Linked DNA regions of Arabidopsis thaliana. The protein of the gene in region 1 interacts with the protein of each later gene in a pairwise test. Each region holds a gene or a part of one and is shown on either strand. Other genes may lie near its edges.

Evidence for each region. The genes of interacting proteins can lie anywhere in the genome.
Region 2: the proteins of SERK2 (region 1) and RAC6 interact in a protein complementation assay, tested with the Arabidopsis thaliana proteins (one large-scale study listed by BioGRID).
Region 3: the proteins of SERK2 (region 1) and CHX19 interact in a protein complementation assay, tested with the Arabidopsis thaliana proteins (one large-scale study listed by BioGRID).

The regions. Positions count from the first base shown.
Region 1 is NC_003070.9:12,454,317-12,463,405, forward strand, and holds SERK2 (somatic embryogenesis receptor-like kinase 2), read left to right. Parts: upstream 1-4,247; 5' UTR 4,248-4,761; coding exon 4,762-4,858; intron 4,859-5,266; coding exon 5,267-5,399; intron 5,400-5,482; coding exon 5,483-5,554; intron 5,555-5,805; coding exon 5,806-5,949; intron 5,950-6,178; coding exon 6,179-6,250; intron 6,251-6,344; coding exon 6,345-6,416; intron 6,417-6,651; coding exon 6,652-6,764; intron 6,765-6,951; coding exon 6,952-7,083; intron 7,084-7,173; coding exon 7,174-7,515; intron 7,516-7,650; coding exon 7,651-8,045; intron 8,046-8,121; coding exon 8,122-8,436; 3' UTR 8,437-8,589; downstream 8,590-9,089. Other genes in the region: AT1G34200 (Glyceraldehyde-3-phosphate dehydrogenase-like family protein), read left to right, coding at 1,477-1,944, 2,029-2,619; AT1G34220 (Regulator of Vps4 activity in the MVB pathway protein), read right to left, coding at 8,786-9,089. UniProt on the Arabidopsis thaliana protein: Serine/threonine-kinase involved in brassinosteroid-dependent and -independent signaling pathways. Acts redundantly with SERK1 as a control point for sporophytic development controlling male gametophyte production. Serves as coreceptor to small peptide (e.g.
Region 2 is NC_003075.7:17,022,271-17,029,154, forward strand, and holds RAC6 (RAC-like 6), read right to left. Parts: upstream 3,597-6,884; 5' UTR 3,245-3,596; coding exon 3,146-3,244; intron 3,026-3,145; coding exon 2,938-3,025; intron 2,852-2,937; coding exon 2,742-2,851; intron 2,668-2,741; coding exon 2,604-2,667; intron 2,178-2,603; coding exon 2,113-2,177; intron 2,036-2,112; coding exon 1,970-2,035; intron 1,883-1,969; coding exon 1,781-1,882; 3' UTR 1,567-1,780; downstream 1-1,566. Other genes in the region: AT4G35940 (uncharacterized protein), read left to right, coding at 1-641, 761-1,323; APX5 (ascorbate peroxidase 5), read left to right, coding at 6,381-6,490, 6,574-6,698, 6,802-6,851. UniProt on the Arabidopsis thaliana protein: May be involved in cell polarity control during the actin-dependent tip growth of pollen tubes.
Region 3 is NC_003074.8:6,025,426-6,033,350, reverse strand, and holds CHX19 (cation/H+ exchanger 19), read right to left. Parts: upstream 4,664-7,925; 5' UTR 4,429-4,663; exon of another isoform or gene 4,264-4,428; 5' UTR 4,151-4,263; coding exon 3,953-4,150; intron 3,863-3,952; coding exon 2,861-3,862; intron 2,781-2,860; coding exon 1,578-2,780; 3' UTR 1,567-1,577; downstream 1-1,566. Other genes in the region: AT3G17640 (Leucine-rich repeat (LRR) family protein), read right to left, coding at 1-958; AT3G17626 (structural constituent of ribosome), read right to left, coding at 4,857-4,976, 5,131-5,172; AT3G17620 (F-box and associated interaction domains-containing protein), read left to right, coding at 5,657-6,853; RBL14 (RHOMBOID-like protein 14), read right to left, coding at 7,178-7,925. UniProt on the Arabidopsis thaliana protein: May operate as a cation/H(+) antiporter.

The sequences.
Region 1 (9,089 bases):
AAAGAGAGTATGATCCGTAGGAATCTGCAAGCTTGAGAAACTAGAGAGCAGATACCGACGACGCAACCAACCGAAGTTTCCTCTGTTCTACTCATGGCAGCTTCCAAGAGAAAGCTTAAACCTTTATCTATCACCCGTCCTCTGTTATTGATCGCTGAGGCGGTTGCGCCGCCATTCTTTAATGAAGTTACTAGTTGCCGACTACAATATAAGTCGTATGGCTGGGCAAAATATTAGTTTGATTCGATCGGATCCGTTATTTGGTTCGATTCAATTCGAAAAATCGGGATATCTATAGTTTTACAAAGCAAATTAAAAAATAAAAAATTTGTTAAAAGTGAAACAAATAACTAATACTAAAATTTAAATAAGTGGATATCTGTTTCGATCTATTATACACAAAACATATATATATATATATATATAGATAATTACATACATATATATTAATAATTTAACACTTTTTATGTAAGTTTTATCAGTTTTTTTTTTGTTTTTTTTAACTTCAAACTTTAGGCTTTATTATAGTGATGAAGTGTAATCCTCATGGATGAATTATACAATAAAAAATGGAACCAAAGAGAAAAGAGAAAAAGAAGTATTATTTGGGAATGGAGTCTTCACTAAACAATCAGCAACTTTATTACACGTTCTAGGCACCCATGTGACTTCGGCTTCGAAAAATTTCTTCTGCCAGTATTGAATCTCCCTTATCAAGTTGTGTAACTCAAAACTTCGGGCTTTGCCATTGACACACTCTGCCACACTTCTATTGTCACCTTCGAATATATCACACTCAGTTTATGTTCATTAAATTAATTATTTAAATATTTTTTTAGTGAATCATTATTTATTTGGGATTAAATTTTTGATTTTTATAATTTTTATTAATTTTTATAATTATTTTTTAATATATACATAACAAATTGAATATTTGACAAATAGTTCAGATTTTAAAGAATATCCAAAAATTCGGTTACTTTCGAAACAAATATAAATCAGAACACTAATTATTCGGATAAAACAAATCGGATAACAAATAATATTACAATTTTGAATATTCCGTTGGTGTCGACCCCTAAAATTAAATTATGTGAAATTTTTAGCATCGGATAATGTTTAGCGAGTTAAAAAAATGAATTATTAGGTGTTTGTTACGGATCTGATTGTTTTCTATTTTATATAAGTAAGGAAAAAAATCTGTTTTTTCTTCTTTTTTACATTAATATAAATTGAAACAACTTGTTATTGCGCTCTCTTTGAAAATTCCAAGAACACTAAATGTGGTCAATAATGGCAGATTTAGTAACAAACATATTTCAACAATTAACTATACAAATTATTCCCAAAACAGAAGGCTTAATATCAACATCTTAAAATTTACTAAAAATTGAAAACACTAAAGAGGAAATTAAGTGACCAAGTCTTCTTCTTCTTTACTCTCTCCTTTCTGTTACCGTCGAAAAAATCGAGCTAATGTCCGGTGATAACCAGATCCGAATCGGACTCTTAAGCTGCACAAACAAAGTCCGCAAACTCTCTCGAGCTATAAATCTCTCTCCAAACGCTACTATATCCGCCATAGCCACCACAAGCTCCATCGAAGAAGCAAAATCATTTGCTAAATCCAACAATTTCCCTCCGAATACAAAACTCCACAGCTCCTACGAGTCACTTCTAGAAGATCCCGACGTCGACGCCGTCTATTTCCCTATCCCCACTCGCCTCCACGTCGAGTGGGCTACACTCGCCGCTATTAAGGGTAAACATATACTCCTTGATAAGCCTGTTGCTTTAAACGTAGCTGAGTTTGATCAGATCGTTGAAGCTTGTGAGGTTAATGGTGTTCAATTTATGGATGGAACTCAGTGGATGCATAGCCCTAGAACGGATAAGATTAAAGAATTTGTGAATGATTTAGAGAGTTTTGGTCAGATTAAATCTGTAAGTGTTTAAGTACTTAAATTAGTAACTTAATCATGTTTATTGAAATTTTGAGTATAGAACGATGGTCTTATGCTTATGCAGGTGTATAGTTGTTTCTCATTTGCTGCGAGTGATGATTTCTTAAAACATGATATTCGTGTAAAGCCTGGTCTTGATGGACTTGGAGCTCTCGGTGATGCTGGATGGTATACGATCCAAGCGATTCTTCTTGTTAACAACTTTAAACTTCCGAAGACCGTTACTGCTTTGTCCGGTTCTGTTTTAAACGATGCGGGGATTGTTCTTTCTTGTGGTGCGTTGTTTGATTGGGAAGATGGGGTCAATGCAACGATTTACTGTTCTTTCTTGGCGAATTTGACGATGGAGATAACTGCGATCGGTACGAAAGGTAGTCTTCGTGTTCATGATTTTGTTATACCGTATATGGAAACCGAGGCTGTGTTTACTACAAGTGGTGGAGGTTGTGTTAGTGAACATAAAGTAATGACTGAGCTTTCACAAGAGGCGTGTATGGTTATGGAATTTGCTCGGTTGGTTGGAGAAATCAAAAACAGAGGAGCTAAACCGGATGGGTTTTGGATGAGGTTTAGCCGGAATACGCAGTTGCTTGTTGATGCTGTGAAAGAGTCGATTGATAATAACCTTGAACCGGTGTTTCTCTCCGGCCGGTGAGAAAGAGCTCAGAAGTTAGATCAGATTTGTTTGTGTCGATGCTTTTAGTAGATGTAGTAATTAGGGGTTTATGTATGATATCTTCTCGGCGTCCGTTGGTGGAGAGGTCAATTAAAGATCTCCTTGGCGCATGGCTGCAAGCATTTCATCAATACATTTCATCCATCACCAAGAAATTCTAGGGATATATACTGCATAGAGCTTCAAAGACTTGGTGCAGTGTCACTCACGAGTTTTGCTGTGTTTAATGTGGCACCGGGGTTTGCTTGTAAATCTATACCTCCAGCTTTAATAGCAGAGGTAGTGACTATGGCTGGTAAACTTTGGCATTATGTGACTTCTTTCTCCGATGTGACATCTTCAGGTGTCCAAACAAAAATCTCTGCTCATAAGACAATATAAGTTCATCGACAATACTAGCTACTGTTTTGTTGAATTCACAATCTCTGCACCTTTCTTATATAGCAGCCACCTTGGATTAATTTTGTTTTTGTTTTCCTTTTTCCTATGGTTTATGATTCAGAAGTTTAGATTATACGTTTATTTACAAGAATCCAGAGAATGAGTACATAATTGACCAAAAATAAAAGTTCAAATTATTTTGATGTAGAATTATAAATTAGTATTTGTAACTATGTTTTTTTTTAGTTTTTTGAATTTTTAAAGAAGAAAAAACACACATGTCAATATTTGTTCGACAAATATTGGTATGTGTTGTGTTCACGTGAGTTAACAATTTTGAAAACTTATCTACATATACATTTTTGCAGCCATTTATGTATACTTATTTACATTGGTTGCCATTGGCTTTTAATTATTGGGTTTTTTTTTTTGGTAATAAATTGATTAACAAACGAAAAACATTCGAAATATATTTCAATCCTATATATCACGCAGATTTCTCCAAAATTTAAACTAGATTTTGGCAACTATTTAAAACAAAAAATGTTTGACAAACTAAAATACAATTGCAATCCCTTAAAATGAGCAAAACGCACCTAAATACATTTTTTACAATTCACTAAATCTTATTTCTCCAAAATTTGAACTAGATTTCGGCAACTATTTAAAACAAAAATTTGTTTGACAAACTAAAATACAATTGCAATCCCGTAAAATATTTATTTAAATTAGCGGTGTACTACAGGTTTTTTTACGGAACGGGTTTGGCAAGACGGGTTTGGAAGAACTTTACTTAATAACAATTGTAAACTATAAAATAAAAATGTTTTATAGATAGATATAATTTGCAAACTTTTATATATATTAATTTTAAAAAATAATTTGTCTCCGCAGTATACTGCGGGTTAAAATCTAGTTATAATATATATCCGTAAAGAACAATAACACAGTATGAATTTTTTTTGTAAGTTATTCGATTAAAAATTAAAAGAAGCAAATTAAATTAAATAATGAGCTACCAAAACAAATAAACAAAAATTACTTTTTTGTCTATAAACATGGAGTTTTGCCAAGAAATTGTAAATAAAGTTTCTATTCCTTTTTTGTAAACAAAAGTTGTGTATCTAATTTTCTCTTTTCCATAAGTTGTGAATTGTGATAATAATTTACAAGTTGACAAAGAAAGAAAAGATTTAAAACAAAAAAAATGTGATTGTACTTAAGATTTCAAAGGTAGCGTTTTGTTGTTTCTCTCTTCCTCTCTCTCTCCACTGGTACCAATCACGCTCCATTAAGAATTTAAGAGAGAGAGAGACTAAACTTGAGCCCATCACTTTTGTAGTGACTAGTGAGTAGAGTAGGCTTTTAGAGAGAGAGAGAGAGAGACGGCTGTTGAAAGATAACCACAGAACACAAAAACTCATTCATTAAGAATGAGAAAGAAAGTCCCAAAAACCTTTTTTGCTCTGAAAAAGCAACGCAAAGTTTTGAAAAATCTCACACCTTTTTCACTTCTCTGTTTGTAGCTGTTACCACTTGTGTTTCCCCTTTGGCATTTTTCTCGGTTGTCATTAATGAGAGTAAAATCATCATCAAGTGTAAACTTCTCTCTCTCTTTCTCTATCTCTATCTCAAAGCTCTCAACTTTGGAGAGATCATGGTTTGTGTTTGATTTCTCAAGTTTTTTTTTTTTTACCCTCTTGGAGGATCTGGGAGGAGAAATTTGCTTTTTTTTGGTAAATGGGGAGAAAAAAGTTTGAAGCTTTTGGTTTTGTCTGCTTAATCTCACTGCTTCTTCTGTTTAATTCGTTATGGCTTGCCTCTTCTAACATGGAAGGTTTGTTACTCTTCTCTTATCTTTCTTTATTATTTATGTGACTACTTTTGCCTGTTTTAGTTGGTACATGAGAATTGAAATTTCCATCTGGCACTGTCTCTGTTCTTCAAAAAGGACTTTTTAAGAATCTGATTCTGTTTGAAAGCTTCAATTTCTATAGAGAATTTTGTTCATAATCTATGGTTAGGCTCCTTTAGAAAAATCACAATTGATTTACTGTTTGATTCAATGCTATTTCTCTGATAACGACATGTAAAAGAAACTGTATTTATGTCACTAGCAAACACATTAAGAATGAGGAACTGAAGAAGTATTCAATGCAAACTGTTTGGTTGTTTCATGTTTGATTTGTTTGGTAAGTATTTCCTCTTTGCGAAAGGCTTAGGCTTTTGTTTGGTATATTAACAGGTGATGCACTGCACAGTTTGAGAGCTAATCTAGTTGATCCAAATAATGTCTTGCAAAGCTGGGATCCTACGCTTGTTAATCCGTGTACTTGGTTTCACGTAACGTGTAACAACGAGAACAGTGTTATAAGAGTGTGAGTGTCTCTCTGCTTATACCTGACCTGACCAATGTTCTTTGTTTAGCTTATTTAATCTCTGTTTGTTGTTGCTTCTTCAGCGATCTTGGGAATGCAGACTTGTCTGGTCAGTTGGTTCCTCAGCTAGGTCAGCTCAAGAACTTGCAGTACTTGTAAGTTTTTGCTTTGATATCTAAATGGAAGATGAATCGTTACTCTGTAGATAAACGAAAAGTTGATGGCATTGACTATGTGTAGCATAACTACTTTATTTCTAGAGACTTGTAGTTTCTCATACATGATATAGGCGAATATGGCGATTACACTGAATCTTGTTTTTTCATTTTATTAGGACTTATTCAATACCCATTTGTCATTGTACATTGTTAATTTTCTTCTGAGGGTGTGATACTCTTAATGGCAGGGAGCTTTATAGTAATAACATAACCGGGCCGGTTCCAAGCGATCTTGGGAATCTGACAAACTTAGTGAGCTTGGATCTTTACTTGAACAGCTTCACTGGTCCAATTCCAGATTCTCTAGGAAAGCTATTCAAGCTTCGCTTTCTGTAAGAACACTTAGTCTGCTCTTCTCATCATGCACTGGCTAAATGTTTTGCTATATTAGAAATTTACTGAGGATTAAATTCTCTTTTGGCTAAATGTTATTACTTGTTGGACATTTGAATAGAAGTAAAAGAAATTGGCTTTGTCTTTCAAAACACTGAATAAACTTGTTTGATTGAACTCTGGTATGGGAAGATGGTAATGTGGTCTGAGTTTTTGTTGCAAGGATAGTCGGCTCAACAATAACAGTCTCACCGGACCAATTCCCATGTCATTGACTAATATCATGACCCTTCAAGTTTTGTGAGTATTACTTTTCAATTTTACTTTCTGCTCTTCTGAACTTCTCACTCTTAATGGATCACCTGAGTTTTCCTTATTATCTTGCAAACTGCAGGGATCTGTCGAACAACCGATTATCCGGATCTGTTCCTGATAATGGTTCCTTCTCGCTCTTCACTCCCATCAGGTTTGATTGAATCCATACTATGCAAACATTAGTTACTCGCATTATGGGAACTGAGGCTATAAGTTAAGATTAAGCACAAGTGGCAATAAAATTTAAAGTCTGAACCTAAGTTTCTTTTGATCATCTTAACTCTTAAGTAAATTTACTCAATAGACATACTACATTTTCCAAATTCTATTACTTTAATTGGTGGATATGGAAATTATCAGCAGTTGACCATTGTTCTTCTGCACAGTTTTGCTAACAACTTGGATCTATGCGGCCCAGTTACTAGCCGTCCTTGTCCTGGATCTCCCCCGTTTTCTCCTCCACCACCTTTTATACCACCTCCCATAGTTCCTACACCAGGTAATGAAATGAAGCAGACAGTAAAATTTAGATCTTTTACCTTCACTCATGCTTGGAAAAACATATTGGATGGTTGTTATAGAGTTTTTTACTGGATTTTGACTGGAAAAAAGTCTATCTCACAGTTTAAGAAGCTTGTGATCAACTTCACTGGTAGTTAACTATTTTGGTAAAAATAAAATTTAAGGTGGGTATAGTGCTACTGGAGCCATTGCGGGAGGAGTTGCTGCTGGTGCTGCTTTACTATTTGCTGCCCCTGCTTTAGCTTTTGCTTGGTGGCGTAGAAGAAAACCTCAAGAATTCTTCTTTGATGTTCCTGGTAAGTCACTGAGTCTGCAATATCCAAGCTTTGTTTCATTTCAGAATTGGATTAGTATTTAGTACTTAATTTTTCAGTTCTGTGATGCAGCCGAAGAGGACCCTGAGGTTCACTTGGGGCAGCTTAAGCGGTTCTCTCTACGGGAACTTCAAGTAGCAACTGATAGCTTCAGCAACAAGAACATTTTGGGCCGAGGTGGGTTCGGAAAAGTCTACAAAGGCCGTCTTGCTGATGGAACACTTGTTGCAGTCAAACGGCTTAAAGAAGAGCGAACCCCAGGTGGCGAGCTCCAGTTTCAGACAGAAGTGGAGATGATAAGCATGGCCGTTCACAGAAATCTCCTCAGGCTACGCGGTTTCTGTATGACCCCTACCGAGAGATTGCTTGTTTATCCTTACATGGCTAATGGAAGTGTCGCTTCCTGTTTGAGAGGTAACCTTGGAATTTTAACTGTTTGTATCATAAAGTAGAAAGACTCCCACAATGATGTATAAGTGTTGTTTTTGATCTTATCCATTTTTAAAACTTTCCAATACAATTGAGTGAGCTTTCTTGAAATGATTACAGAACGTCCACCATCACAGTTGCCTCTAGCCTGGTCAATAAGACAGCAAATCGCGCTAGGATCAGCGAGGGGTTTGTCTTATCTTCATGATCATTGCGACCCCAAAATTATTCACCGTGATGTGAAAGCTGCTAATATTCTGTTGGACGAGGAATTTGAGGCGGTGGTAGGTGATTTCGGGTTAGCTAGACTTATGGACTATAAAGATACTCATGTCACAACGGCTGTGCGTGGGACTATTGGACACATTGCTCCTGAGTATCTCTCAACTGGAAAATCTTCAGAGAAAACTGATGTTTTTGGCTACGGGATCATGCTTTTGGAACTGATTACAGGTCAGAGAGCTTTTGATCTTGCAAGACTGGCGAATGACGATGACGTTATGCTCCTAGATTGGGTATAACACAGATCTTTTAGCACATATCTGGCTATCTCTCAAAAAGCTGATTTATCTGTTCATTTGGTCTTCTCAGGTGAAAGGGCTTTTGAAGGAGAAGAAGCTGGAGATGCTTGTGGATCCTGACCTGCAAAGCAATTACACAGAAGCAGAAGTAGAACAGCTCATACAAGTGGCTCTTCTCTGCACACAGAGCTCACCTATGGAACGACCTAAGATGTCTGAGGTTGTTCGAATGCTTGAAGGTGACGGTTTAGCGGAGAAATGGGACGAGTGGCAGAAAGTGGAAGTTCTCAGGCAAGAAGTGGAGCTCTCTTCTCACCCCACCTCTGACTGGATCCTTGATTCGACTGATAATCTTCATGCTATGGAGTTGTCTGGTCCAAGATAAACGACATTGTAATTTGCCTAACAGAAAAGAGAAAGAACAGAGAAATATTAAGAGAATCACTTCTCTGTATTCTTTATTTCTTTGGTAGAAAAATAATGTAGTCTCTAATCAAATCTTATTCCATCTATCAGCATTCTTCATTCATTTCTTGTGAAAACCAAGGCCTTTAAATTAAACATAATCACAAACACCAAGTTCTATACATTACATATGTCTTCCACTGGATAAAGAGGAAGAAAAGGCTATTCCAAAAAACATTTTGAGCTCTTTGTTCCGCAAGAGAAGGAACAGCACAAGTGAAACACACTGAAAAACACCAAGCTTGCATTATAACATATGCAGGTAAGAATCACGAATCATGGGCGGGTCTTGTATTGTCTGAGAACGAATGAGAGCCAGATGAGGGATCATGCTTCTGCGATGTGAAGAGATTAGGGTATGAGTAATAGGGATCATCTTCCATTGAAGGCAGTCTCATTTGCTGATGGTCCTGGTCAGGGCTGAGTCTGTCAAGTGGTGAAGTCTCTGGCCTTTGGAGCTCTGGCAGATCGCCATAGCTGCTGACTGATGAGTTCTGATGATCAAACTGCGGTTTCTCCATTGACGGGAATCTATGTGGTGTAAGATCGTCATAGTTGCTGCCTGATGAGTTC
Region 2 (6,884 bases), on another chromosome or scaffold:
AGATAAGAAGGAGAGGAAGGAGAAGAAGGAGAAGAAGGAGAAAAAGAGGAAGGAGAGGGAAGGAAAGGAAGTTGGAAGCGAAAAGCGCAGTCATAAGAGACGGCGTAAAGAAGACGGTGCTAAAGTTGATCTTTTTCACAAACTAAAAGAAAGTGAAGTCAATTGTTTGGAGAAGAGCAGCCTTACTGTAGAACGTGAGCTGCTTCAGTCGACGTCCCAAAACTCTTGTGATAGCACTCTTAACAGCAATGAGATGTTACCGAAGCAGAAGGAGGTCCAGCAGCCTCTCGATGGTAGACATAACAACAACAACAACGAGAAGCGTGTGGAGAAGCAGCAGCCTCTCGATGGTAGACATAACAACAACAACGAGAAGCGTGTGGAGAAGCAGCAGCCTCTCGATGGTAGACATAACAACAACAACGAGAAGCGGATTGAGAAGCAGCAGCCTCTCAATGGTAGACATAACAACAACAACGAAAAGCTGATGGAGAAGCAGCAGCCTCTCAATGGTAGACATAACAACAACAACGAGAAGCGGATTGAGAAGCAGCAGCCTCTCAATGGTAGACATAACAACAAGGAGAAGCAGAAAGAGAAACAGCAGCCTCTCGATGTTAGACATAACAACAACGACTCTGGTGAGTTTGTTTGTGTTTCTTCCTTCCCCGGGGAAGGATCTTGTATTCTTGTTGGGTCTAATTACCTTATCAGGACATTGATGACATTCTTTCTTCAAATTGTTGATATGAATTTGAAGAAAGCATCATTCGGATTCGATTGCCTATTCGAAGGCAGAAAGATCCCGAGGTGATGATGACCAATAAGGATCAAGAAAAACCAGGTCCTTCTCGGGGAATAAAGTTAGACTCGTCCCAACTTCCTACTAGAGAGCCGGTTAATCAACATCCTTGTTCCACTTCTGCAGCAGAACATGCTTCGAAGCCACGAGAAGAGAAAAGGAAAGATCCCATTTTTAGAGGGAAACACGGTAAAGAGAAGATATCCTCATCCTCTACTCGAGAAACTTATCAACCTCCTAAAAGCCTATGCAATTGCCCTCCATCCATGGTGTTGCAATTCTTGGACGTAGTTGAGAATTGGGTCCCTAACACGATCGAGAGAAGAGTAGACCTCATTAACTCTGAAGATGAAGAATGTTGGTGGTCCATGAAGAAGCCGCCAAGTAGCACCACAGAAATATGCAAACAACTTAATAGAGAGAATGAGATCAAGCAAGTAGGCAATACAATGGGGTGGCCATGTGCTCGCCTTTTACCAGAAGCTGATGTCTACGCCTTACCTTACACAGTCCCGTTCTGATAACATCAAAGAGCAGGAAGTTTTTAACAAGGAATCTGGTCGAGACATCCATGTTCTGGACCAGACAGTTTTTTGGTTTAGCCTTAAAATTCCAAGGTTGTATAAGAAGAACACACTGTTTGTTATTCTTTGCGGTTGGTAACCAATATAGTAATATCAGTATTTCGTCTCAATCTCTCTTGTTCTTATAATAATAGAATGAGAAATCGAAATGGAATTTTCATGTGAAGTGGATTAGTAACATTATCACAATTGATAAAACATTTGTAAATAACTAGACAAGCTTTCTCGGCTATCAGTTAAAATAGAAGTTGAATTAACCTCACAATTCGTTTTGTACGGAACTAAGAGATCACAAATGAAAACGGAAAACAACAACAAAAATGAAAAAGCGATACTTTTTTAAACCACCCTGTCATCCTCATCTCAAAGAGCTTCTTGACTTCCATGAGTGCTATTACAAGATGGAGCAGGCCTTTTGTGCTTTGTTCTTCTTTTTCTTCTGCTTTGGAGGTTGAAGGACCACTCTGATCGCTGCATCAAACACGCCCTTCACGTTCTGCAGTTATAGTCACATTGTTTTCATCAAAAGATGAAGAATCCAACACCGAAAAGATGATTCATGAGATGTCTTTTATTCGTTTACCTCTTGTGATTTTGAACTGCACTCGATGTAAGCTGGCGCTCCAATTAGCTTCTTCAGCTCCTCTCCCTTCCATGCAGAGAGGGAAAATGCTTAACGGTGGTAAAGCTGATAAAATTGCACTGAGGAAATAACTGTATTCTTACCTGAACAGTGGTAATAGGGACAGCACCAGGATGGTCGATGAAAAACTGTTTGTCATCTCGAAGATCTGACAACAACCAAGGTTAGACAATCAAAAAGGCCAGGATCATGAGTTGACTGAAGATCTTGCAAGTGTCTTTTATAAAGGTATACACTTGCTATACAGTAGCTATTTCATTGGAGGATGCTTAAAGGCGTGTGTTATAGGATATGGTTGCTTTATCACAAGAAGTGCAAGATACAAGAAGAAGCCTGTTGACCAATGATATTCTCTGAAAACTACCCTCAGTTTCACCTAACGAATACATCTTGAACATGTACAAGTTTTAACCACAATCAAGAGAAGGTGAAGTTTTATGTCCACTAATGTCATGATATATTATACCAGAGCAGCTTAATAAAGTGAAAAGGAAAATGGCAGTGTAAGCATGGGAATCAGACATATATATAAATAAATGCATAAACAAGGACAAATGTGAGAGGAGGAAGTAACCTAGTTTGGTTCCAACAAGGACAATTGGGACACCAGGAGCATAGTGCTTCAACTCAGGAATCCACTGTAAAAGAAAAGAAGCATCAAAATTTGGAACTCTCAATTGTTAAATAGTCGACCAGTTCGGACGAAACTGACCTTCTTGGAAACATTCTCATAACTAGCCTTACTAATGAGAGAGAAGGCAAGAATGAAAACATCAGCACCACGGTAACTCAAAGGTCTTAATCTGTTATAGTCCTCTTGCCCTGCATAAACCAAAAACATAATTTCGACCGATTCATCAAGGAAAGCTCTCTCACCAAGGATTATGAATTGGATCATCATTCATTACCTGCAGTATCCCACAATCCAAGATTCACCGTGGCTCCATTAACAACCACATTTGCACTAAAGTTATCGAAAACAGTCGGAACATAATCCTGTTCCAATGGAAATGTATACAACATTTTTAGTATGTATGGATCCCAATTCATATATGGCACAATCAGAATCAAATGAATCAGATATCAAAAAAAGGAGGGAGAATGATTGATGAATACCGTGGGAAAGGTGTTGCTGGTATAAGAAATCAGCAAACAGGTTTTACCAACAGCTCCATCACCAACGGTGACGCACTTTATGAACCTTGATGCGCTCATTGCCTCTTCTTCTTCTTCTTCGAGCCAAAATATGTCACAATTTACCAAAAAACAAAAGAGATCAACCTCAGATTTAAACCTGAGGAAGCCAGAAACACCCACAATGTGAAGCCAATTCCTCCGAAACTTCGACCATTATCTTTCAATTAACCATCTCAAAACCCTAGATATGTATAATGTGGAAACAAACCCCCCAAATAGAGAAAATCAGAAATGTGAAGAAGGAAGGAAGATGAATAAACAAAAGGGAACGTGAGGACGATGAATTGGAGGATGCGAGAGAGAGAGAGAACAACAACTAGAGAGAGAAAGAAAGAAGTAGAGAAGAAAGTGATGGCCGGAAATAATTGCCATTGAAGCGTTCGATTAATCTCAGCCATTCAACCTTCCGACTGTTTTGCAATCTTTTTACTTTTTTTACTTCTTCTGTTGTCTTTTAAATAATTACTATTTTACTTCTTCTTCTTTTTTCTGTTTGATTTTTTAGTGTATATTCAAATTAATTTATTTATCTTGTATACAAAAAAGTAAAATAAAGGAGTTGCACATAATGTATTTTGTCTTTGTTGTTTAAAATGCAAATAAGAAAAATTAACACTGGCTAAAATTATACGTGTTTTTAACTGTCTGTAAAATTTCTAGTACGATTTGTTTTACTATTCTAATTCATTTTTTTACTAGTTTTTCCGGATGCTCACCAAATGTGAAAAAATCTCTAAGTTATGATTCAATATTTATGAAACCAATCAGCCAATTGCGGTACAATAAAGTTGTAATGCACTAGTTCTTCCGCATACTCGCCAAATTTATGTTAAAATTTCAAGGATGTTTGATGATATTGAATGTGGTTAGTTGAATTTGCATGTTGGCTAGTGAGAATGTGGTGTATGGACCAAACCTGAACTTATTTGTATGTCAACAAAGTGTGGTAATATTTTCTGCCAAAAATTGCAATAATCTCAACTAACAAATATTTTACCGAGTATGTAAAATGTCAACATTGGTCATATTTGCCTTTCGTGAGGAAAGATGTCTATGCTAATGAACTTATTCGGGTCAACGTAACCTTCCTTGATAAGAAAACCTGCGACAGCGAGAACAAAAACGTTAAGAGTTGGGAATCTTTCACAAACCATGTAATTAATTTGTCGGAAAAAGTTAGCATTTGAAAATGTTCAAAGTAAAAGTTTTTATTTGATGTGTGTACGATGATACAATCACAGTTTTGATAAACCAGGATTCGTGGAGTTGGAATCAGTTTTATCAAATCAACATTCCAAAATTACTAACAAGTTTGAAAATATGCAATGACAAAAAATCATAAAAATCATAAATACACGAGCTACATATGGATGAATGAGAGAGTTAATCTATAAAATCCGACCAAATAACTCACCAAGTCTACGATTTATTATATGGCTTTTAACAGAGTAACGACTGAGAGAGACATATAAGAAGAGCATTGATGAAACTAACCCTGAACATCACGGCGAGTAGTCAACTGGAAGTCCAAGATGATACCCCGGCGCAACAAGCCCGCTATCACCGCCAAAGGTTGCCGTGGATCGTTTGTCGTGACTGTGACGGATCATTTATCTCTTCTCTCTCTCACCTGTAATTGTCAGAAACAGTTTAGATGGCAGAAATTTCTCAAAGATAAATTACACTATAATAACTCTCTTTAACATTATGACTACAATTCCCAAAATCAAGATGTTTCAGAAAATACACGGCTCAATTCGTCAAACAAAAAGGAGAAACATCAGATTCTTACCAAACCCTAAAGCAGAGTCTCAAAGCAGAGTTCTTGATTACGATGATAGTATATAATGAAATCACGGGGAAATTGGGTGAACGCTCTCTGTTTTTCTTTCTTTGCGTTGGTTGTAGTGAAGCTTGATGAGCCTTCCATTTCTAGCTATTTGCTTGGAGAGAAACCTGCAAGAACACTCGAAAAAGAAAACAGAGGAAGATGTGAGTTTAGACAAAGTGAAAATAGTATGATGCGTAAAACTGAAACTGACGAAACTTTAGTGAGAAGAATAGACCATGAAAGTGTTTCGATCAACAACATAAGTCGTAGAAAAGTAAGGAAACATCTAAGAATTCTTACCAATCTTAAAAGCAGAGTTCGGCTAGTGACTACGAGAAACCTTGGACGAACTTTGTTGAGAGGAATGAAACTTGCTCTCGATTAACTTTGGATGAACTTTGAGCTCTCTGACTCTCTCTCTCTTTGGTTTTTCAACTAGAAAAAAGACTTTTGCTTTCTGAAACTACGAGAATAGTAAGCGATTATACAGAAGAAGAAATGATTGTGGGAAGTAAGTGAGTGAGCACGAGCCACTTATATAGGCAGCTTCGGATTTCTTCTTTCAACGGCTACTTTTCTAACGTCTATATTTTCTTACCGTTGTAAATTTTGCGTCTCAAATAAGTTACCGTTTGTGCATGAGGTGACAATTGACTTGACAGGTTGACACCGAGATGAAAATTACACAACAACAAAAACTAGAAGCATTCATAATAAGCCCAATGGGCCAATAGAGACCCAACCAAAACCCCAAACCAACAAAAAATTAAGGACACTGTTCGTCATTAGTGGATAATTAATATTTTAGTGTAACACCTTCACAACGATCGTCTCTCAAGGTCAAATAGTAACTTAGTAAGTAGCCCTCTTGATACGAAGTAGGAACCAAAACGCTTGTCTTTATGGATTAGAATGTTTGTCATATCTTGTTCAAAACTAAAAATGTCTAAAAGTTATCTTGTTTTTATTTGTTATTACAATAACGAAATCATTTCAATCAAATTGATCTCAAACAACCAATGTAGTTTAGTGTTAGGTAGAATCTTCTTCCGAGATAGTTATGCCCCAGCTCTGCTTGCGACGGGATGGTAACTAAAACTTTTGAATAAACTATAGTTGCATAGATGAAAAATTGAATATATGCGAAGATTAGCAAAAGGGTTCTCCCATAACTATATTTAATACTTTGCTTTCTCCATATGACAAAACATTCTTCTCCCCTAAACTCTTCTTCAATCCTATTTATATATTCATCCTTCTGAGTCATTCTTCAATCTTATTCATCGGTCTGAGTTATTTTGCTTGCTCTTTGAAATTCTGACAATGGCAGTGAACGTTGATGCAGAGTACCTCAAAGAGATAGAGAAAACTCGTAGAGACCTTCGAGCTCTCATCTCTTCCAGAAACTGTGCTCCCATTATGCTCCGTCTTGCGTAAGATCTTTGCTCTCAGAATCATTCTCCGTTTTTCTTTCTTGTCTTGATGTTTCCAAATGCCAACTCTTCTGTGCATATAGATGGCATGATGCAGGAACCTATGATGCCAAGAAGAAAACCGGAGGTGCCAATGGATCTATCAGATTCAAGGAAGAGCTAAACCGTCCACACAACAAAGGTTTGGAGAAGGCAGTCGCCTTCTGCGGTGAGTTTTATGATTAAACCTTCTAATCCGTTACTACTACTCTTCAGGACCTGCAAGCGGTTGCTGTCTCCTTTGATGTCTAAATTTTGGTTTCTAATTTCAGAGGAAGTAAAGGCTAAGCATCCCAGAGTCTCTTACGCAGACCTTTATCAGGTAAATCAACATTGGTATACAGCATCTCGAAGC
Region 3 (7,925 bases), on another chromosome or scaffold:
TCTTGACGTATTCCTCTGGAATGTCTCCAGTGAGACGGTTGTTGTTCAAGAACAAAGCCTCTGCTCCGACAAGCGCGGGAGTTAGCTCTCCGGAGATTGAGTTATGGCTCAGATCAACAATGGAGCCCTCAGGTAACAATGACGTGGCGTTTGAGGTGGCAATGGATGTGAAGTTGTTTCGTTGTAGGAACATTGTTGAGATTGTGGGACTAAAGAGTGAGCTAGGGATTGCGCCGGTAAATTGGTTCATGCTTAGATCGATGTATATTAGCTCTGTTAATGGCTCCATGGCATTGATTGTGCCCTGCATTGAGTTTCCGGATAGAGATAAGTACCGGAGAGTAGTCGGGAAAGCGGGTGGGAGTTGGCCGGAGATTTGGTTCATCTTTAGGTCTAAATGGAACAATGGGCTAGAGACAGGCTTAAGGTTGTTGGAGAAATGGTTTGAGGCTAAAACAAGGACTTTGAGTCGAGGAAGAGTGGTGAGAAAAGGAGGGAGAGAGCCAGAGAGTTGGTTATAGCTAAGGTCAAGAGTGTGGAGATTTGAGAGAGATGAGAAAGATACGGGTATAGGACCGGTTAAACGGTTTCTTGTTAAGGAAATGACTCGAAGGAGAGGGAGGGAATCGAACCGAGGAGGGAGAGGACCGGTGACTGAACCGGGGTAGAGAATGAGTTGGGTTAAGTGGGTTAGAATGGAGATGGAAGGGGAGAGAGAGCCTGAGAGATTAGGGCCAAGAGTTAAGCCGGTGACACGGCCGCGAGAAGAGCAGGTAAGGCCAGAGAAGGAGGAACAAGGGTCAGGAACTGTGAAGTCCCAAGAGGAGAAGAAGGCTGAACCGGGCATGTCGGTTAAAGAGTCTCTGATGGATTGGAGCGCGGCTCGATCCGTAGGAGCTAATGAAGAGAAAGTGGAGTGGACAAGAGAGAGCAAAAGGAGAAAGAAAGTGTAGCTCATGTTTTTGTTTTTGAGAGTTGTTTTCTTCTCTTTGTCAATGAAGTTGGTGTGAGATTTTTAAAGAAGAGAAGAGAAGAGAAGAGAGAGCGTGAGAGAGAGTAATAATGAAGTACACAGCATGTGTGTGTGTGATAGACAGTGAGTGAATGTTAACGTTATGGATTCTTGTTCGAAAATGTGTTAGTTTATTTATTAGTGACGTCTCTTTTGACTCTTGTCGGTGTCATTGGCGGTTGTGGTCCCTTTTTGCATTCATATCTCTTCAGGAGGTAATTTAAGATTAGACATTTTTCCGTTTGTTACATTTTTTCTGAATAACAATGAACACATTACACCCTAAAAAGGTATGTAGGTGACACCATCATGGGCAAGGATACATTCCATGGTGATGACTAGAAATGTTGGATCTTAAAAATATTATTCCTTTGATCATTCAAGGCAAAATATTAAGAAATTACAGGTCGATTTTCATGCCCACAAATCTAATGTCAACCATCAATTTAAGGAAAATAGAAAAAGAACAATGGAGACACTCCAAGTCCCAACCAAAAAGAATATCAAAATATTTCATGAGACAAAAAAAAAAACAGAGAAATTTTGTTTTTATAATAAAATCCGTTCAGGCAGTTAAGTCTGAAATATCTCTGGAAGACTGATCGTACTCTGCATCTTCCTCAACGAGCGGTCGTGTATCTGCTGCTGGATCATATCCCTGAACGACGAGCACCGACGCGGTGGTGGAAAACTCTGATGACGACAACAAGCGTCCAACTGGTCCTAACTCTGGACAGTCTGTACTCTTAACCAACGATGCAACAGCTGCATTTCTTCCAACGACGAAGAGATTGCATTTACTCATCGATTTAAGTGTCGCGATGATATCGTCTTTGCTCTCAACGACTCTTTCCTCGTAAGCCAATGACTCATTTCCTCTTGGATCATTCATCAACTCCCTCACAAACTCTTCGTCAGTCTCTTTCTCTTTTTTCTCCTTTTCGTCGTGTTCACTCTTCTCGAATCTCTTCAATGTTCCTCTCGCAGCTACAAATTTGTAAACAGTTAGTGTGATTCCTGGATGTTCCACCATTTTCATCCCGTATGCGAGAGCTTCTCGGTCGTCGAGGCCTCCAAAGAATGGAATCACGACTTTGTAAGCCACTTCGCTGGCTACAACCTGTGAGGTTCCTCCGAGTCCTCTGTCCACAAGAATCCCGACTGAGCAAGGAGCTCGTTGCAAGACCCGTTGGTTCACTTCATGGAACCTATGTCCTATTGACTCCATCGCTCCGTCCATTCTCTGATGCTTGTGAAACGGAAGCAGTATCATCGCTACTCGTTTCTGATGCGCGCTTGTGCATATGTCCTCGTGGATGCTGCTGAGGCCAGAGATTGCAGTCATGGGTCTAACCGCTACTGCTCGTAGATGCTGGTAAGCCTCGAAGGCAATCACCATCTGGTCCGTTGATCTCTCGATCTTATTCCAGATTGGGAGACCATTGTTTCGAGCTTTGTGAACCATCGCGATCGCTGATGACCGTTCAGAAAGCTCCATCAGATGCATCGCGTAAACGCAGAGGCGTCCCTTTTTGCCTGTTCCTCTTGATGATTCGATCAGATTGATCAATGTGGGGATGTTACGGGTACTGTGGAAGCAAGCAAGTATCCTTAGCTCAGAATCATGATCTTTTCTTTGGATGGTTCTGTGCTTGTACGGTGCTCCTTTTCTTGCAGGCTTGTAAATAAGCATCACAATTGGAGTTGTGATGAAGGTTGTGAACAATGCCATTAGGACTAAGATCGCAAATGCTTGATCATTCAGCACCTGCTCACAAAAATCGTTATTTAGATAACTCGGCTTTTAAATGTTTTATAAGTCTTATTATGGCTTTCAAGAATCTATACCTTCCGGTCCTTGCCAATGTTAAGAACAATGAGCTCTACTAAACCTTTGGTATTCATAAGGAATCCAAGTGTCACGGCTTCTCTGAAAGGAACCTTGCAGAGCATCGAGGAACCAACTGTTCCTACAATCTTCCCGAAACAAGTGGTGAGAATGACAAGAACTAGAAGTCCCCATGACTGTGCTCCCCTGATCGTTGTTACATCAGTTTTGAGACCGCTAGCCGCAAAATACAGAGGTAGAAGAAGCCCCGAAACAAGATCCTCTATCTTCTCAGTCAAAATCCTGCAAAATGGTCCTTCTTTAGGAGCTACTATACCTACCACAAACGCCCCGAACAGCGCGTGTATCCCAATAGTGTCTGTCACAAAGCTTGCTGCTAAAACCACGGTTAGAGTGACACAAACATAGAGTTCCTTTACAGGCTCTCCCTCAGGACAGCGTCTAGCCATATAAGCAAGCAGAGGTTTGATTGCCACAACTGCAAAGATCACGAATCCAGTTCCACAGAGAAGAACCCAAACAGATACAAGAGGAGAAGTCCCATCTCCTGAGAGAGCAATAGCAAGCGCAAGGAGTATCCAAGCTGCAACATCGTTTACTCCCGCTGCAGACATTGCCATACGTCCAATGTCAGTTGTTAGAAGCTTTAGCTCAGCTAGTATACGAGCAAGCACAGGGAAGGCAGTGATTGATAAGGCAACACCCATGAAGACAATAAAAGGAAGCTGATCGACTCCTTTGCTTATGGTGGCACTGAGAACAAAAGATGTGCCTACACCCACTATAAAAGGAAGTGAGATCCCAGCTATGGCTATCAATAGTGATTTCTTTCCAGTTTTTTTTATTGCTGCAAAGTCAAGCTCAAGCCCAACTAGGAACAAGAAAAACAGAAGACCAATGTTGGCGAGTGTGTCTAAAACGGTCAAGCTCTTCTTTGGGAAGATGGTGTCAAGATAGGCCTTGCTTCTCCCTAGTGCAGAAGGTCCAAGCAGTATCCCTCCCTACAGAACCATCCCTTTTAGTCTCTTTTGCTATGTGATTTCATCAAAACAGAAAAAGAAAAATACAAAGAGATTGAGTAGGAAACTCACAATGATCTCAGCAATGACTCGGGGCTGTTTGAGAGGCTTAAGAAAGTAAGCTAAGAGCCTTGTAAACACAACCACCAAGACGATTTGTAGGATGATAAGAGGAAGCGCGAAATCAAGAGGGCTTTCGTTTTGGAAGGCTCCATTGGAGGTAGCCTTCATTGGACCCGGGCATTGCCCTGTAACGTTGGTGCTTGCCATCCTAGTGGAGATCTACTTACAGGTTGATGATTGGTCAAGAAACGAGATACTGCTTCACCCTTCAATACTGCCTTGGCTGCTCCCTCATTGCATTGCCAAACGAAGTATGAGACCTGAATGGGAGGAAAAAAAAGAAATCAAGATTTTATTCTGTTCTGTTACTGTTTTTATTAAACAGAATCTACATTAAAGAAGTGAGTATATAAAAGGAAAAAACAGAAAACTAATAACGTCTATAGTTTGCTAATAATAGGTAGATGAGATAGAAGCGGACATACCAACTCCAGGGTGGGCATATACCTCGCACTTTTCTATTTATAGACTATCAGTTACTTAACTTCCAACCATATCGCATCTATACTTCGCAGATATGAACTGCCTTCACTGCGCCGAAGTTTTCGTCTCTGTCTTTGTCCTTCTGTCCTAAATTTGCAAGCACTTGTACCTGTCTCTTAACTAAGCAGCACATTTGATGTCTTACCTTCTGAAGCTTTGTAAACATCAACCATTTTCAAATATATTATCATCGTATAGACGATATAAACATTCTTGAGATGCATAAGTAGTAAGAACAAATGAACACATTAAAAAGGAAGAAGTTAACACTGTTCCAAGCCGACTAATCTAAATTTCAATCATGGGTTCTATACAAGCAAATTTCTGAGAAGGACAAAACAAAAAAAGACTTAAAATTGGAGACCGTGTTCTATTTGCTGAAGCAGCTAAAGCCATGGTAAGTGTAAATTGCACGGTCAAAGGCCACCTTTGTGATCCCATTCTCTACGCAGGATTTTTCTATAACTTCTCCAACTTTCTTAGCCATTTCCTAATCAATTCCAAGAAGAATCAAAGTTAGACAGTGTCCAAGAGAAAAACAATTGAAGCTAAGGGTCTCATGCTAAAACTTGAAAGGTTTCGGCTAGAGAATTTTGTAGATAGATTGTAGTTGAATTCAAAGCAGGTGGTAGTGAAGAACTCACAATGGTAGAACCAGTGAGCAAAAGATACAGAGCCTTGGCCATGGTCTGAGAATTGAAGGAGCTTTAAGCCACCGTACTGAATTGGAATCGGCGTCGAGGCTGTTCTCAGCGAGCTCAGACGCTGGATTACATCACCCTCTATATTTTGTAGGTTTCGAATCTTCGGTGGCTCTCTCGGTTCAATCGCCGCAGTCGGAGAGGAGAGTCTTCCTCCTCCATCTCCACCGCAAGAAGCGACCGTCGATCATCTCCCCCGCCATATACAAATGAGAATCACTAAAAAGTTTTTAACTACAGTTGGGCTAAAAGCCCAATAATAAAGCCCATAAATGAAACGACATCACAGTCATATAAATAAGAGTTCAAAAAGATGAATAATTCCGGGAAATTTTTAGAGGGCAGAGTTGTGTTTCGGCCCAGCTTGAGTTAGGGTTCCTGTGGGGAAACATGAGAGCTTTTTACTGAAGTTTCAAACCTAACTAATTTGTGTTACATCGATCCTTGTTCAAATTTGAAAGATTTGAAGATGATGTCCGATCTTCCAAGAGATTTGTTGGAGGAGAGACTCTCTAGGGTTCCGGTGAAATCATTGAGAGAAGCGCGATTTACCTGCAAAAATTGGAAAACATTATCCAAAAAGCGGAGCTTTACAAAGAAGCACCTTGCTCAGGAAGCAACATCAAGGGAAAGTGAGTTTAAGGTTGTCATGGTCTTGCATTGTAAGGTTTATCTAACGAGCATCAACCTCCGTGGAATTCACAACGGCTTTGACCCGTCTATAAACCGTCAAGCTAAACTTGTTAGCCTAAACGGTACAGATCAGATCGATATATCTGAAGTATATCACTGCGACGGTTTACTGTTATGTATCTCGAAAGACTACACTAGGGTCGTGGTTTGGAATCCGTATAGGAGCCAAACTTTGTGGCTCAAACCCAGTAGTCCTGACCATAGAATGGACTGGTATATCTGTGCTATAGGATACGAGAAGCGTAAATCAAGCCTACGCTACAAAGTTTTGCGATTCGTTGATTTTGCCGAAGAAGAATTTGTTGAGTACGAAATATACGAGTTAAAGTCTAATTCATGGAGGGTTCTCGATGTCACTTCCGACTGGGAAGTAGAGTTTTATGCACGAGGTGTCTCTCTCAAGGGAAATACTTATTGGTTTGCTACAGACAAGTTTCCAGAAATCAGCAGTAATCTTATACATAGTGTTTATTTCTTGCTCTGTTTTAATTTTACATCGGAGAGATTTGGGCCGCGTCTTCATTTGCCGTGTTACCCTATGGATGTAGATACTGTGAGTCTTTCTAGTGTTAGAGAAGAGCAACTTGCTGTGTTATTTCAGCGTAAGGACAACTTACATATGGAGATTTGGGTTACGACTAAGATTGAACCTGAAGAGGTGATGTGGAGCAAGTTGTTCTTAGCAGTGGATATGCAACCACTCACTGATTTTAAGTTTGGAATTGCAGATGCGAGTTTCATCATTGACGAAGAGAAGAAAGTTGTTGTAGTCTTTGCTAAAGACAAAGATGTAATGTATCCCACTCACAACACAGCTTACATCATTGGAGAGGATGGATATTACAAAGAAGTGGATCTCGGAAAAACTACTGATAAAATTCGAGATCCACTTGTGTGCTCGTATGTTCCAAGCTCAGCGCAAATCAAGCAAGGAGGCAAAAGGAAGAAAAAAGGGAAATTGATTACTGATTAACATTTATATCTTGCTTTGTGATCTTCTTCTTTCAACAAAATTTGGTTTGAAATAGGATAAAATTTTGTTAAAATCGAAAGTCTGTGAAACTGTAAGTTTGGTGTGAAGATACTATATTATCTGAATCACTCGCTACTTTCAGCAATCTAATCAAAGGACCAGTTCACGTAGAACCAAATCTTCAACAACAAAAGAGAAGACAAATTGAAGAAACAGATCGAAAAACACGACCACTAACTCTGCTATTCATAAGCTAATGCAATGAATGATTCAACAAAGCTTCATTCACAATCCTTCCTCAGCTTTAAGAATGCGCTCCCGAGATCAACTAAACCTCTCTACTCTTCGACGGCGCAGCTCATCTAAAGGGAGATCATTAGAAGAAGAAAGTGCTGGTCCCTGATTCAGTGACCATCCATTTCCTCTAGCCCGTCCCGAGCCACACATCTCGCAAGCACTTAACCAACCAGAATTGTCATATGTACACGACTGACATCTCCAAATACCAGGTCCTGCTATCCCAGTCTGACCTCTTCCCACTCTTCCTCTCCCCGTAATCCTCCTTCTCCGAGACCTAACCATACCATTCAGAAACCTCAAGGGCCACGTCACCAATCGAGATACACCTCTAACCGCCATAGTGACTGGATCTGAGCCTGAGTAAGAACCTTTCAGCTTCAAATAGATAATACCAGCAAGGATTCCACCCAAATGCCCAAGAAACGAAGCGTTAGGTACAAACATCTGCACTAGAATCAATTCTGCCCAAGCAGCATACTTTGTTGGAACCAAGATACCATACACACTTGAGTAATCCTCAGCTTGAGAATTAAGAACAACTTTCATAGCAAAGAGAACACCCGAGAACCCAACCGCATACTCGTTGTAGTAAGCTCTGTCATAGTCAAACAAGAGAAGAAGCGATTTGGCTAACAACAATGTGACTCCTTGAGACATACCAATAAGAGTAAAGACCATTGAAGCAAACTCACTGCTTCCCATTGATGTCTCAAGCTTGATACCTTTCCAGAGAAGTGACATCATGTTATAGACTAAGTGAGGCTCGTTAACA